2 linked regions of the Styela clava genome follow. The protein of the gene in region 2 interacts with the protein of the main gene of each other region in a pairwise test. Links are inferred from orthologs where the notes say so. Each region holds a gene or a part of one and is shown on either strand. Other genes may lie near its edges.

The links. The genes of interacting proteins can lie anywhere in the genome.
Region 1: the proteins of putative ATP-dependent RNA helicase DDX6 (region 2) and eukaryotic translation initiation factor 4E-like interact in binary tests that used the Drosophila melanogaster proteins (3 or more experiments, as listed by UniProt). The link is inferred for Styela clava from reciprocal best matches to the Drosophila melanogaster genes me31B and eIF4E1.

What each region holds. Positions count from the first base shown.
Region 1 is NC_135260.1:20,083,935-20,091,425, forward strand, and holds the start of eukaryotic translation initiation factor 4E-like, read right to left. Parts: upstream 3,021-7,491; 5' UTR 2,962-3,020; coding exon 2,825-2,961; intron 2,551-2,824; coding exon 2,455-2,550; intron 1,823-2,454; coding exon 1,759-1,822; intron 825-1,758; coding exon 711-824; intron 240-710; coding exon 100-239; intron 1-99. UniProt on the Drosophila melanogaster protein: Recognizes and binds the 7-methylguanosine (m7G)-containing mRNA cap during an early step in the initiation of protein synthesis and facilitates ribosome binding by inducing the unwinding of the mRNAs secondary structures.
Region 2 is NC_135253.1:749,718-756,834, reverse strand, and holds the start of putative ATP-dependent RNA helicase DDX6, read right to left. Parts: upstream 3,004-7,117; 5' UTR 2,751-3,003; coding exon 2,584-2,750; intron 1,712-2,583; coding exon 1,648-1,711; intron 1,509-1,647; coding exon 1,376-1,508; intron 906-1,375; coding exon 804-905; intron 285-803; coding exon 138-284; intron 1-137. UniProt on the Drosophila melanogaster protein: ATP-dependent RNA helicase which is a core component of a variety of ribonucleoprotein complexes (RNPs) that play critical roles in translational repression and mRNA decapping during embryogenesis, oogenesis, neurogenesis and neurotransmission.

The DNA of each region.
Region 1 (7,491 bases), on a different chromosome or scaffold from region 2:
AGTAACAGCATTAGTTGTTTATTTCTGTTTTCACACAACAATATCAAAAACGAACAACAGAAAACACTTCAAAACTTTGAGAAAACTAAAGCCACATACCCTATTTTAAGAATCACATCACGTCTATGGCAATCTGATGTCCATACAGCAATCTTGTCTCCCTTGTTTCTGACTTGAACTACTGCACCATTAACAAAATCTGATTCTGCTTCAAAAGATTCTCCAATCATACAGAGGATCTTGAGAAAAAGATAATTTATCACATCATTATTATGAGTATATCAAAAACTTTCTATTATTAATGAAATGTGCTTAAAAAACCAGGACCACAAAATGTCTTTCAAAAGCAAAAGCAATATGTTAAATTTTGCGGTAGGATAGTTGAGGATTATCATGTCTATAAAAATATAGAGAAAAGATGACAATACAGCATATCATATAGTGAACCACAGCTTTTCATCCGGTTACCAGTCCAAGCAAGGTTTGTAACATAAAATATCAAAAATTTATATAGGATAGATTTTATATTAATTTATATTGGGAATTAGAAATCTGGAGAATAATTACGGTATATGGTTAGGAGCTGTACACTGAAATTTCTGATAGTCCCAGCTCCAGTTCTAACCACCCATACAAAAACCCCAGATAAAAAATCGTAAATGACAATAGGATTTACAACTTATTATACTATATTTACAAGCCAAACTTACAGTTTCAAGCCACATTCTATCTAATTCTTGATATCTCTGTGTTTTGTTCAACTGAAACAACCATCGTCCACCATTTTTATTTGCTTCATCTTCCCACATAGGCTGCACCCCATCCTGCATACAGTGCACATATTGTAGAGATTAGGAAAAATTACAAACAACTTCATGAAATTATTGTGATAAAAATTCATTTTAGAAATTCAGGCTATCAAGAGAAAGAATTACTTATTTGATTTATATTCTGACTTTTTGCACTTCACATCTGTGTTAGACAAATTAGCACTATGCTTTCGAAACACTGGACAGGGCATTACACACTCTCTTACGCCCTGATATGCTGGAGGGCCAGAGATATTCAACCTGAGATACCAATAGGTAGATCCAATGTCAAAAACGCTATAATGCTGTACATTATAATAATAGTAATATGCTGCACAATTTGAAAGCTGGAAACATTGAAAAAAAAAAGGCGCCCCAAAAGTGTGTGAACCAATATGGAGGTATCTAATTTTGTTCACCTATTTTACATCAAGTTGTTAAAGGGACTGACAGCTATGGACTGGGGGGGTATAATCACTTGGCTAACACACACATTCCCCGAACTCATAATAGATAGAGCTAAAATAAGGAAAATTGGAATAAAATTATGGCCTAAACCTGGTACACACACTATGGGAGTACCGAAAAAAAACATAGCATTCCTGCAGGAACCCGCAGTTGAACTAAAAGTACTGCAAGTAATAACAACATAAAACAAAGGTTGAGATAACTTCAAACTTTAACATTAACAACTAACAAGGGAAGTTAGTCAAGCATTAACCAAAACCAACCAACACATAACTAAAGTCGCCCACACATTTAGAATTAGACTATGAGCAATGATAAATGAACATTTTCAGTAAGCATTCAGTTAAACCACAACCCCCAAGAGCCTTGTAATAGGTTCAATGTTTAAAAATGTTCTCAACGTTACAAAAGAGTCACAGCAGGATTACTGAGCAGATATATAGATATCAAAATGATATCAGTAGTATGACAATAACCATACCTTGAATAGACAATAGTCGCAGCCACTTTGCAGCTTACTAGAAAGTTGAATATGATTATAGATTCTGAAAATAGAAAACATTTGTGGTATAAAACAACTGATAACAAATATTATAACCATTTTGTTTTGTATTTTCATGGGGGAATCGCCAATACTGAGTTGTCCCATAAATTATTTAATACAGAATGACAATTCTTGCTCCAGCTATAAGCCTACAGAAGAAGGCAAGAATTACTAGAGCTATACACACTTTGTGTACTTTTACATCAGCTTGCATGTAGTACAGCAGCGAATTAAGATTCTTTTATGTTTATTAGTATGTCTTTACATGAGGTTTTGATCCTCATGAATATGTCTTTAAATGAGAAAAACTACACAAGTTAGTGCATCAATGAAATAAAGAAGGAAATATCAAAGAGAGACATTGCCAATTGATATTTGAGACAGAAAAAAACTATTTTGAATAAATAATCTTACCGGATAAAGGATAAACACTTAATGAAAATATACCAAGTAAAGATTATTCACATACTCAAATTTATTTTTGAAGTCTCTTGATTCAAATATTTCATTATAAAGCTTTGTTTTTGTATCCATAAAATTCTATATTCACCAAATATCAATAAAGTAACGCTGAGTAGGAATTCTTATCACAGAAAAAGTCTTGGCTAGAAAATGTAATAAAACAATACTTACGCCCAAAAATCTTCTACAGTGTCAAATTTAGTTACTAATCTTAAATTATCTTCCCATTTTTTGCTTCTATCATTTTTGAAAAACCAGAGTGCCCATCTAAAAAAACAGAATCATTACAAATGTATACTTGATCAAAGATCATTGTATTGGAAATTTCGTACACTTAACATAATGGTGACTAAAAATGTAATTCACTATTCCAAACAAATTTTAAAATTCTTCAGACTTTCGAATATTTTCTAATCATGCCATGAAAGCACAAAAAAGTCATTGTAGTCTATATTCAATAAGTACGCATACAAATTGTGCATAAAAATTAGGACAAAATATATCATTTGATTTCCTGAATTGTATAAGCAGCACAACATACCTGCTTTGCAGTGGGTGTTTGATAGCAGTTTCATCTTCTACAGTAACTTCTTTTGAATCACCTTTCTCTTGCTCTTTGGTTGCTTCTGGTTTTGCCGGTTCACCAGAGCTTTTAATATCAGCTTTCTTTTCGGACATAGTAAACTAGTTTTCAAAGTTATATTATTTGATGCTATCCTAAAAAATATCAGTTGGTAATCAATGGTGCGTTTTGTAGATTGCGCTTCATTTTAGTTTATTGTGCAGTGCCAGTTGGAGACCCGGACTGTCTCGTAAAGGAGGGGTTCACACTAAATCTTATAATTGATATCTTTCCAAATTCTAAGAATGTCCCTCATTTGGTTCAATAAAACAAACACTCCATGTGTCTCACAAACCAAAGGTGTCTGGCACGCAGCAGATGCGTCATGCTTGTCTCGATAATGATCTAAATTAATCCCAGCCGTCACATGACCAAAATTGCCGTTTTTTGCTCAAAACTCTCGAATGCCACGGTAGATATTTTTTCCATCGGTAAATGGGAATATTTTTTCCCCGAGGAATTCAATGATGACATTTTTAGATTGCCCTTCCTTGTGGTTTTTTGCTCAAATTCAATTTACTATATTTTAACTGATATTGGGGGACAACTATCGAACCATGTGCAGACGTCCCCCAGAGAAGCCGAAGGGGTGTCTAATGATCAGTAAAATGGGTCTCTATGAAACGAGACAATGTCGCTCGATCTGTATAGTGTGGTGTACTGTAGTATGGAGGCTATTCTTGTAATCCAATATTCAGAGAACTGTGCCGAACTAATTTAAGTAATTCGCAATAGTCTAGTACCGTACCGGTACTGAGTACAAGTTTTTCTAGGAAAACTACTTTTAGAAGCTCAAAGCAGTTCTCATCCTACAGTCCTACTGTAGACTACAGACCTTGCTTTGAACAAACTTATTAAAAAATATCTACAGATCAAAGGGATTTTCTTACCTAAAAATGATACAGTATCCATGCATATTAAGGATAAGGATAAGATTTACATATTTATCCTGGAGGAGAGGAAAGCCGATTTGACGGCTTAACCATATAGCGAAGCGAACCACGTCCTCTCGTCCGGTTACCATTCCATGTCGAGTACCGGTATGGGATTAGTTAGGTATTTGTTTTTCCGAAGCATGGACTTGATGGTCGAGGAAGCCGTAACCGACTAGCGGTTAGGTGAACCACCCAACGGTGGCAAGGAGTCCTGCAATCCTCTCGCACATAACCATGAAGCATGGGATTCAAACCTGCGAACACACGCAGAGTAATTAGAGGTGCGTAGCGAGCGTACCGTATTCCTAACGCTTAGCACGATGAGCTACACCGCCTTCTGGCCTTACTGCAGTACTGTATTACGGTAATGTACCATATTACATGACCCAAGTTCAATGACGTACAGGTACTGTAAATGTTTGTTGCGCGACTGCCTGAATTACAGCACAGGTAATCTACCGAATTACAGAATTAATTCAGTAATTACCGGTACCGTACCGTAGCGGCACGGGTACCGGTACCGTATCATTACTGCATTACATGAATTAATTCAGTAATTGTTGGGATAAAATATCGTCTTACTTCATTCTCTCTTCAATCCTCACCAGTTTCAAACAACTAACATTAATAGTTTCCAAAACCTTAAACTTAAAGGCCAGTTAACTCAACCGATTGTAATTAAACTGTGTAATACTGCAATAACAGGCAAAGCATAGAAGTGAATAGAAATAAAACAGCATGTAATGTCACGTGACCCGGTATTCTGGTATCGGTTTTTTCTCGAGAAATGCACTTCTGTCTGGTACATTGCCGTGAGATGTAGCCAAGTAGTAGTAGAAGTAAATCAGTGAATGTTTGCATCGAAGCCTTTACGACATACCTGTGTGAAAGTGCTTTTGCAATTTTTTGTTAAATCGTGAATATATCCTAATAATGTAATAAATTTTATATTCAATAATAACGGTAATCATTCACCTGGCTGATATCTCTTATTGGACACGTTTAGTGGCCATAACGATCGTTTCAATATTATGTTGTTGTTGTTCTTTGACACGTTTTTAAAAAATCGCTTTTCTCTTCGAATACTGGACCAATTGCTTTGAAATTTTCAGTGGTTAAAGAATAATTTCTTCGCTAGAAGGCTATTACTTTTATTTATTTCAAAATTTTGCGTGAATTCTATGAAATTTGATATTTCGTCTAAAATTTTGCTGTATTATTTTTTATCCATGGGAACACGGATTTTAGTCAGTGTCATGACTGGCTGTACGTTTTGATTCTGCAAAATTCTTGCTACTGGAAATTCAGAACTTTTTTGAGGGTACCGGTAGCGTCAAAGGTACCGGTAAAGACTGATTCGCTCTGGTCTAACGTGTCCATATATTTGTGCGTAGCTCTTTTGTTTGAATAACGCTGCTAATCTGGAGAACAAAATCGGGGGTATTTTAGGCACAAAAACACTTATTGACGGGTCTACTGCATTTGCATTATCAAGACGTCATATGACAAACCAGGAGTCACTTGTTCGCTAATTCCGCATCAACATTCAGTATAACAAAACACAGATCAACAGGTGTGATTCGCTTCGGCACTGTTTACTTTACATACACGTAAAATGACCAACGAAGTTCTTGTCGAAATATTCAAAATACTATATCGGGAAATATTCAATGACGTTGGGCCTCACGTTTAACAGATCACAATGCTTGTTGTGATTCACAACAGAATCTAAACGCACATAATGGTACACTTTGGTAAAGTAACATTCGAGAGTATGTTCGCTTTGAACATAATAACGCTCAAATATCAAAACGCTTCGCGCAGTTTTGTGGTACAAATGATTATTTGTTTATTCATATATAGTTTATTTTATTTCTCCCGAGATTATTTCATTACAATTGGGTATTCAATGTTCATGAAAGGCGACCAACAATTGTGATTTTTTTTCACTGTAGGCCTACAACGGAGTCACCAGAATTGTTATTCAGTTATCTCATACTATCAGCCTACCCTCTTCACAAGCTAACACTAAGCTGTTTTCCTGGCAATATAATATTAGAATGTTTAAAGTACAGTATCATATTATCCACTGGCGTCTTTCTTCAAATAGGGAACATTAAACCTCTGGGAAGCTAGCAGCAAAAAACGAAATTAAGACTGACAGAATCGCAGAAAATACCCACGCGTAAAATTTAATGTTCCCAATGATTTGTCTTGTTAAAATATGGTAAACAAGCATAAAAAAGGAAATGCCGGATTGAAGAAAGCAAAGAAAACGGAGGAGGGACGGTTTTAAAATTTCGAATGAAAAATATAATCATAAAAATTGTAAGCAGAAGCAAATGAATTTCTATCAGAAACTCAAAATTATGTCAATATTTATGGCGATTTTGGTGTTTTTCAAAGCCCAGCAGCATGTGGTTCCGGTCAAGAGGGGGTTGATTTTATTATTTTAAATTAAAGATATAGTCATATAGATTATAAGCAAAGTTTAATGAATTTCAACAAAAACTTATAAATTTTTGAATTTTTCGATTGAATTTCGATAATCTGACGCAAAATTGACGTAACTCATATATGGCGATTTTGGTGATTTTCAAAGCCCAGCAGCATGTGTTTCAGGTCAAGAGGGGATTGATTTTATTATTTTAAATTAAAGATAAAGTCATACAAATTGTAAGCAAAGTTTAATGAATTCCAACAAAAACTTGGAATTATGTGAATTTTCCGATTGACTTTTGATAATCTGCCGCAAAATTGACATAACTCATATATGGCGATTTTAGTGATTTTCAAAGCCCAGCAGCATGTGTTTCCGGTCAAGAGGGGGTTGATTTTCTTATTTTGAATTAAAGATATAGTCAAACAAATTGTAAGCAAAGTTTAATGAATTTCAACAAAAACTTGGAATTATGTGAATTTTCCGATTGACTTTTGATAATCTGACGCAAAATTTACATAACTCATATATGGCGATTTTAGTGATTTTCAAAACCCAGCAGCATGTGTTTCCGGTCAAGAGGGGGTTGATTTTATTATTTTAAATTAAAGATAAAGTCATACAAATTGTAAGCAAAGTTTAATGAATTTCAACAAAAACTTGGAATTATGTGAATTTTTCGATTGACTTTTGATAATCTGACGCAAAATTTACATAACTTATATATGGCGATTTTCAAAACCCAGCAGCATGTGGTTCCGGTCAAGAGGGGGTTGATTTTATTATTTTAACTTAAAGATATAGGCATACAGATTGTAAGCAAAGTTTAATGAATTTCAACAAAAACTTTGAATTATGTGAATTTTCCGATTGACTTTTGAAAATCTGACGTAAAATTGACGTAACTCATATATGGCGATTTTGGTGATTTTCAAAACCCAGCAGCATGTGTTTCCGGTCAAGAGGGGGTTGATTTTATTATTTTAAATTAAAGATAAAGTCATACAAATTGTAAGCAAAGTTTAATGAATTCCAACAAAAACTTGGAATTATGTGAATTTTCCGATTGACTTTTGATAATCTGCCGCAAAATTGACATAACTCATATATGGCGAATTTGGTGATTTTCAAAGCCCAGCAGCATGTGTTTCCGGTCAAGAGGGGGTTGATTTTCTTATTTTAAATTAAAGATATAGTCATATGGATTATAA
Region 2 (7,117 bases):
TCTTGAGATTTGGGACAAAAGGAAAAAGGTATATTTTCTGCACAGCTTGATCAAAGAGTTGCAAGGAAAGTCTTTTTATATACAGTATAGATGAACTAATATTATAACTAAATTTTTACTTATCCAAAAGATCTTACCATTGCTTTCAAGTCTGAGAATATCATCTCTTAAGTTGGTTCCTCCAGTTGTGGCCATCACATTTAAATTTCCCATGTGCCTGCTCATTTCAATGGCAATTTGTGATGTTTGCAATGCCAGTTCACGTGTTGGCACCAAAACCATGGCTAGTATAACATAAAAGAAAGCTTTGTCATTTGTAAACAAAAAATGACCAATACCTAAGTAAACCAAGTATGTTAAATATTGAATTGTAATGGCCTATAGATGAGAACATAATACTGCTATTGTTTTATCAGTATCAAAAATATAGAGATCAACTTTTTGAGCAATGCATTTAATCGAAATATGAACAAGCTTTAAGAATGTCAATTACAGATATTACTGCACATACAGCAGCAAACCATTCGACACTAGTAAATAGTAAAATAAAATTAATAAAATCAAAATAAATATGAAACCATAATACTATTGTTGCATGTATATTCCAGTCAAGAGTACAACCTATCTTGTTATCAATCAGCAAGAGTACATCATTATCTACAACCAAAATTTCAGTTTTTCAAGAGCGAATGGAACAAATGAAACTACAAATACTGTTTTATGTTATAGTTTAAACTAATTTAGGCTATCATTAGATTATATCCTGTTTACAAATATACATTGCAATATAAATTATGTGTTACCTTGAACATAATCTTTAGACATATCACATTTTTCCAACAAAGGAATCAGATAGGCACCAGATTTTCCAGTGCCATTTTTAGCTCTTGCTAAAATATCTCGACCTGGAATGACAGTGAATACACAAATAAAGACATTCTGACTTGATATATTCATTGGAACCAATTTGAACAGATTACTAATAAGACAAATGAAGTTAGTAAATTTAGCACAAAAAAAATATACTGGTACATATAAATATATACGGTAGATCTTTACGAGCCAATTCTAAAACATTTCATACTGTTACACAGTATAACCTGTCATATTTTAGTCATTTCCTTATCACTCTGTTACTGGGCTCTAATATTATAATTTCAAGTTTTAATTAATTTGAATATATATTTTAGGTATGTATCTTATACTATATCAACTAACAACATACAACAATGTTATAGATGCCGAAAAATAGGTTTATCCTTCACATGAAATTTATTATCACTCAAAGTGTAAAGCAATTTCTTAAGAGATAAAAAAGTAGAAACCACAGAGTTAGATAAAAATTCTATTAAGATTATTTATTCTAATATCTCACCAGATAATGCGATAGGAATGCTTTCTTCCTGAATGGGTGAAGGTTTCTCCCAGCCTTTTTCAAAAATACCCATCAATAATTCTCGCTGGAGACAGAAGTCTTCAAATTCATTTCCTTTAGTCGCTGTAACGTCCTGGCATATAAAGTAAAGTAATGAGAACTTCGCAATGGCAATCATGTAAAAGTCTCTCAAGAAACATTCTTCTTTCGATTAAATGTAAACAGGTAAAATACTTGTCGAATGTGTAATCATCAATTGTTAGTGCACTTACAGTAGTTTTCTTTCTTCTGTCTTTTGGTGGCAAATGTAAATTTGATTTCCAATCTTCTCCTTCCCTAATGTAAATAAATAAGCAAGTTTGGAAACAAATGAATGACAATCCGTTAACCAATATAACTAGCAAATGTTATCAGGCCAAAGCTTGCATTCATAAGCATTTCAACATTATTCTGCAGGTAGCCATGTCTAGTTATGTGCATTGTATGACAAGTTTTTGGCCTATAGTCTTTCAATATGAAATCCCAAAATAATACATTTCCATTTTTAATCCTGTCGAATAATCAATTTTTTTCGATATTTTTGGTATCAGTTTCTGACAAAGGTATGTATAAATTTACCCATTCCAATTACAAAATTAGATGTAAAGGAATACATATGAAATGAATTGAATATTAGAATAAATTTGATTTTAAGAACACCGAAGAATGTCTTCCATTTTAAGTACTGAAATCATACAAGATAATAAGCCTATGTTTTTTTCTTGAACAAACAAAAAAAAATTGTAAAACAGACACCTTCTTTGGATTCCTGCGCACTATTTTTGCTAAATCACGATCTAATTTCGAATGAATTCAAAGTACAGGGTGAAAAATTTTGAATTTTTTTGAGAATGTTAATGTAACATAACATTAGATTTTAAATATTTAGAGACGATTCCGGCATAAAATCATTCAATAGTATGCTTTGTTCAATCATAATAATAATTTTGTTTATAGTGTATTCTTTGTGACTTCGCTTTAAGCTGATATTTATCAAAACAAATATGGATATATATATTTATCCATTTATTAACTGAATTAGTCAATGATTGTCAACTGCAACTGCATACATACTATCAACCACAGACTACTGTCCAAGGCAATAAGCAAGTAGCGATATAGAATCAAACCTATTTCCTGAAAAACAAAGTTGAAAAAATCCTGCTTACCCAACTTTGCCAGATTGAGGGTGAGAGTTAGCAACAGGCTTATTGTTCTGTTGACGAGAACCTTGAACTGAGTTTGCAGAAGGTTGTCTGCTTGGTCCATTACCAGCAGAATATTTGTGCCCTGATGAGGGCATATGCTGATTAGTTGGTGGCATAACGTTCGCCATTATTCAAATCTGTTCCACAGGGGCGATAAATTTGTAGAAAATTACCAGCATTCAATGCGCAAATTCCCTGAGATCACCACCACAGAAATTGTTAAGTCAATGTAGAACTTATGTTCTGTTAGAAAGTCACAAAAAACTCAAGATGTACAACTGTTTCCTCTGAAGTGCACTGTGCAGAAATTCAAAAATTTCTTTAAATAACTGCTTAATTATGATTCATTCCATAATATGCTATAAAATTTCATAAATAAATAAGATAAAATACAGATGAATATCAGTATCAGTATTGAATGGTATGAATCTCTATCACTAAGATAAGCAAGTATTTCTGAGGGTTATTATAAGCAACAGTGTGGTTAATAAATAATATACTGCATTTCAGTACAAGATAAAATTATGATCATAACAAGAGTAAGTGCTAAAGTGGGCATGCACGGATTGCCTGTCAATATATTTTCATCTGGCTATCAGTATCAGCTATGAATTAGATATATTCTTACAGGTAATATTGAAATATCATGCTCAGAAAATATGAGTGTCATATCATTTTTCATTAAAGTGCGAATATCTAAATAGCAAACCATATTTGATTACGGTACATGCATTGAGGGGCGGTCAGTGGTTAATCTGTGTTGATGTTCAAAGGCAAGGTTTGGCAGCAACTGACACAAAAGAAAATTATGAAAAACTGATGGACCCACTTCAGTTATTGTATAGATAAGAGCTTAGCAAACTATATTCCCAACTTGTACTACAATGGTGCATCTTTGAACTTGTGACACTAATATCAGTGCTTGAAAAATTGGGATGTCTTCTGGAATGCAGTTTCCTTATTCATTTTTATGATGCAATAAACATTCTTTGCTAAGTATCAAAATCTAATGGTTAGACATGTTAGCCTGAAATGGTCACTGACCACAGATATGGTTATTATGCTTGCACACCTTACTTTCATTTAATGATAATTGTTACCATTGAGCTAACAGCACCACGATGCTATTTTGTTTGATAGACATATGTTGCTTGACACATACTGATTCACCAGTGATCTGTTTTCTATAGTGTGGTGCCAAAGTGAAAGATCGGATTCAGCATTTATTATTACACTAGTTTGTTAGTTTTCGGGTAAAATTTAATGGTAATAGGCAATTGCACATGCTAGGTTGAAAATGCTAAATGATAAAATATGACAGAATTCATCTTGCATTCATTCAATCAAATATTGAAATGTTGTAATTGTAAGTTTACATTTTTCAGTTAAGCATTTTAAATAACAATAACATTAAATCAGAATGTGTCGCCAAAATATATCACCTACATGGGAAGTTTGGAAAGCACTACTATAGATGTTATCAAAAGCTCCATTATGCTTTCATTTTTCACTTGCCAATATAATCTTCTATTCTTTCTTCATAGACAAAAGCAATGGGGTGTAGCAACTTGTTCAAAAGGAAGTTAAACTCGCTATTAATGAGCTAAATCAATTTCATCTCAGCTTAATAAACGTTGAATTGGTACCGAACTACAGCCGTAACGGCAGGCTGCACTTACTAAATAAAAGCAATTACGGCGATTCACCCCATAGCAGGGCTACTCAACTATTTTCACCAAAGGGTCGTACACAAAACATATAAATTACAGTGGTCCGGCCATTCTAAAAATTTTATTTTAACTCTGCAAACAAAACTCCAAGTGCATCATTTAACAAATACAAGATCAATGCTAAATATCACGCATTGGTAATGGTATGACAAGGCTTTACTAGTCTGGCTCTCTAGCTGGCCGCTGACTTTGTTTAATAAATAGGAAATATTTGGCGATAACACTTATTATACTGCTGAAGCCAATGGGGATAAATACCCACAATACGATTTCATTTCGATCTTTTGTCTACAAAACAGAACATGAATAAAATAAAATACACAGAAAATGGCGACGAAAAGATCGGGAAAATGGGCAAAATCTAGAGAAAGGTTTATAACAGGTGCTGTAACCAGCGTTTGTGCCCATGTACCCATTCACCCACCCTCTTAAAATCAAAGCTACAGAGAACTATCCAAATTACAGAACTAGAGCCACAAAATGCTGAAATAGCTTACCAAAGACAAAAAGAGAATTACCCAAGACAGGCTACAAGTAGCAAAAAATAGCAATGATATTTCAATGTGATATCAAGAAAAAGACTTTTATTCTTACAAGTATTAGGAAAGGACAAACACACTGTTAGTTCTTAATCTGGATTTTGAGTTTTTCCCTTACGAATATCGATCCATTGTTGTGTTTTGTAGAACACCAAATGTGTTATTCCCGGTGACTCTATGGAACAATTTTGCATGTTGTGATTTGCAATATATTTTTACATTGCCAGCTACATGTTTTGTGTCATTGCCCAATCAGTTGAGTTATGGGGTTTAAACAAAACTGCACCAAAGTTACATAAAAGACTCATTAAAAACACAGTAAAAATATAGCGTGGCACTACGGGACGACAGGTCCACCACGCAATAACGTTTCATTGTGTTGTAAATTGTCGCGATGGTACAGCATGAGCCCTCAATATTTTCTGGCGCAGTAACTGAATGACCCCGCTATGACACACTTAAGTTAACTACTCAATGTAACACTGTAGATCTACAATGATGATGTGCACATTATATGTGACACTACAGGGCATTTTTCCACCTTGGAACAGCGGCCTCTATCATCTCTTAAAATTCAGGTTATAAGATAAGATTAGGATTTACATATTTATCTCGGGGAGAGGAAAGCCGATAAGACGGCTTATCCATATGACGAACCACGGCCTCTCGTCCGGTTACCATTCCAAGTCGGGTATGGGATTAGTTATATTGTTTGTTTTCGGAAGCATGGACTTGGTGGTGGGGGAAGCCGTAACCGACCAGCAGTTACGTGAACCACCCAACGACGGCGAGGAGTCCAGCAATCCTCTCGCACATAACCATCCCTGCATGGGATTCGAACCTGCGAACCCACGCAGAGTAATTAGAGGTGCGGTGGCGAGTTCAGCCCGTTGAGCCACACCGCCGCGCCGATAAATCGTTAAATAGGTAAAAACATGTCCTACGGCACTGCAAACACTTAATCTTTATTAACATAAGTCCAGTGCATCTATTCGAAATAACTGTACCAGACAAACAAACACTTCGTGTTACAAGTCATCACAAAACATGTCAATTTTATCAAAATTTCTACATTTCAGGCCCCTTTGTGTAAATGATTAAAAACCTGGGTAAAATTTTAAATTTTCCAGTGAACTGAATGCAGTCCAATAAAATACAAGTGTTATTTGATATAAAAAATACAAAACAATTACTTTCACTGCACTTTTGAACAAATTTGCTTGTAATAGCCCAAATAAAAATTTTCAGATTTTATGGAAACTTTTCGAATAACTACTATCCTTGATCAGTTTTGACATCAAAAAAATAGCAATGGCTTAATGGCTCACAGTGGAACAAATGCCTAACAAATCCAAATCCAGGGCTAAAAAAACAAAATTAAAAGATTTTTCCACCGAAATATAAATAAGAATCATCTAAGACAGGCAGTTTGTAGCTAGAAATAGTAATGCCATTCTAATATGGTGTATTAAGTTTTCTTAGATGGGCACATACCCTAACATAAGTTACCCTATTATCGTCACACACCAATGTTCACCACGCGCCTTCAGGCTGTCAGGACCATCCCACTTTCAGATAGCGCTAATATGAGTTGTTTTCAGATTGCGATGTCATGAGTGATAACTATTGAACTTATTCTGTCACTCGGTGGCATAAGGGCATTTTCATTCAAAGTTAAAAACGATTCTCATAGGGCTCAGAAAAATGTTTGAAAAAAATTAAAAGTAATAGCCTTCCAGCGGCAACAACTCTATTACGAGACAGCCTCCATATCGACTCAAAGCGGCAAATTGGCACTGCGTAATGAACTAAAATAAAGTGCAAACTACAAACGTCACCATTGGATTACACTGAAATTTTTTTAGCTTAAAAACACAATTTAGCTTAAAAACAAAATTTTTAACTATACCGAGGCCTGGCGCAATCTGACGCAAATGTCATCATGCCAGATGCCCTCGTTTCAGAGACAAATAGAGTGTTTGTTTTATTGAACCAAATGTATGGACATCTTGGAATTTTAAGAACTGTGGGGTTTCAGAGTTTGCACTGTTAATGAATGTTCCCCCGAGCATCAACCTCTCTGTCTATTATGATGACAATGACCAAATCAGCAAAAAGCTGAGAATTATCAATTGAAACTATACAGCTATGGCCTCACTCAGACTAACAAACATTCAGATATTGGCTGGTTTTATGCGGTCTTACTACTTACTGAATACAGCGCGA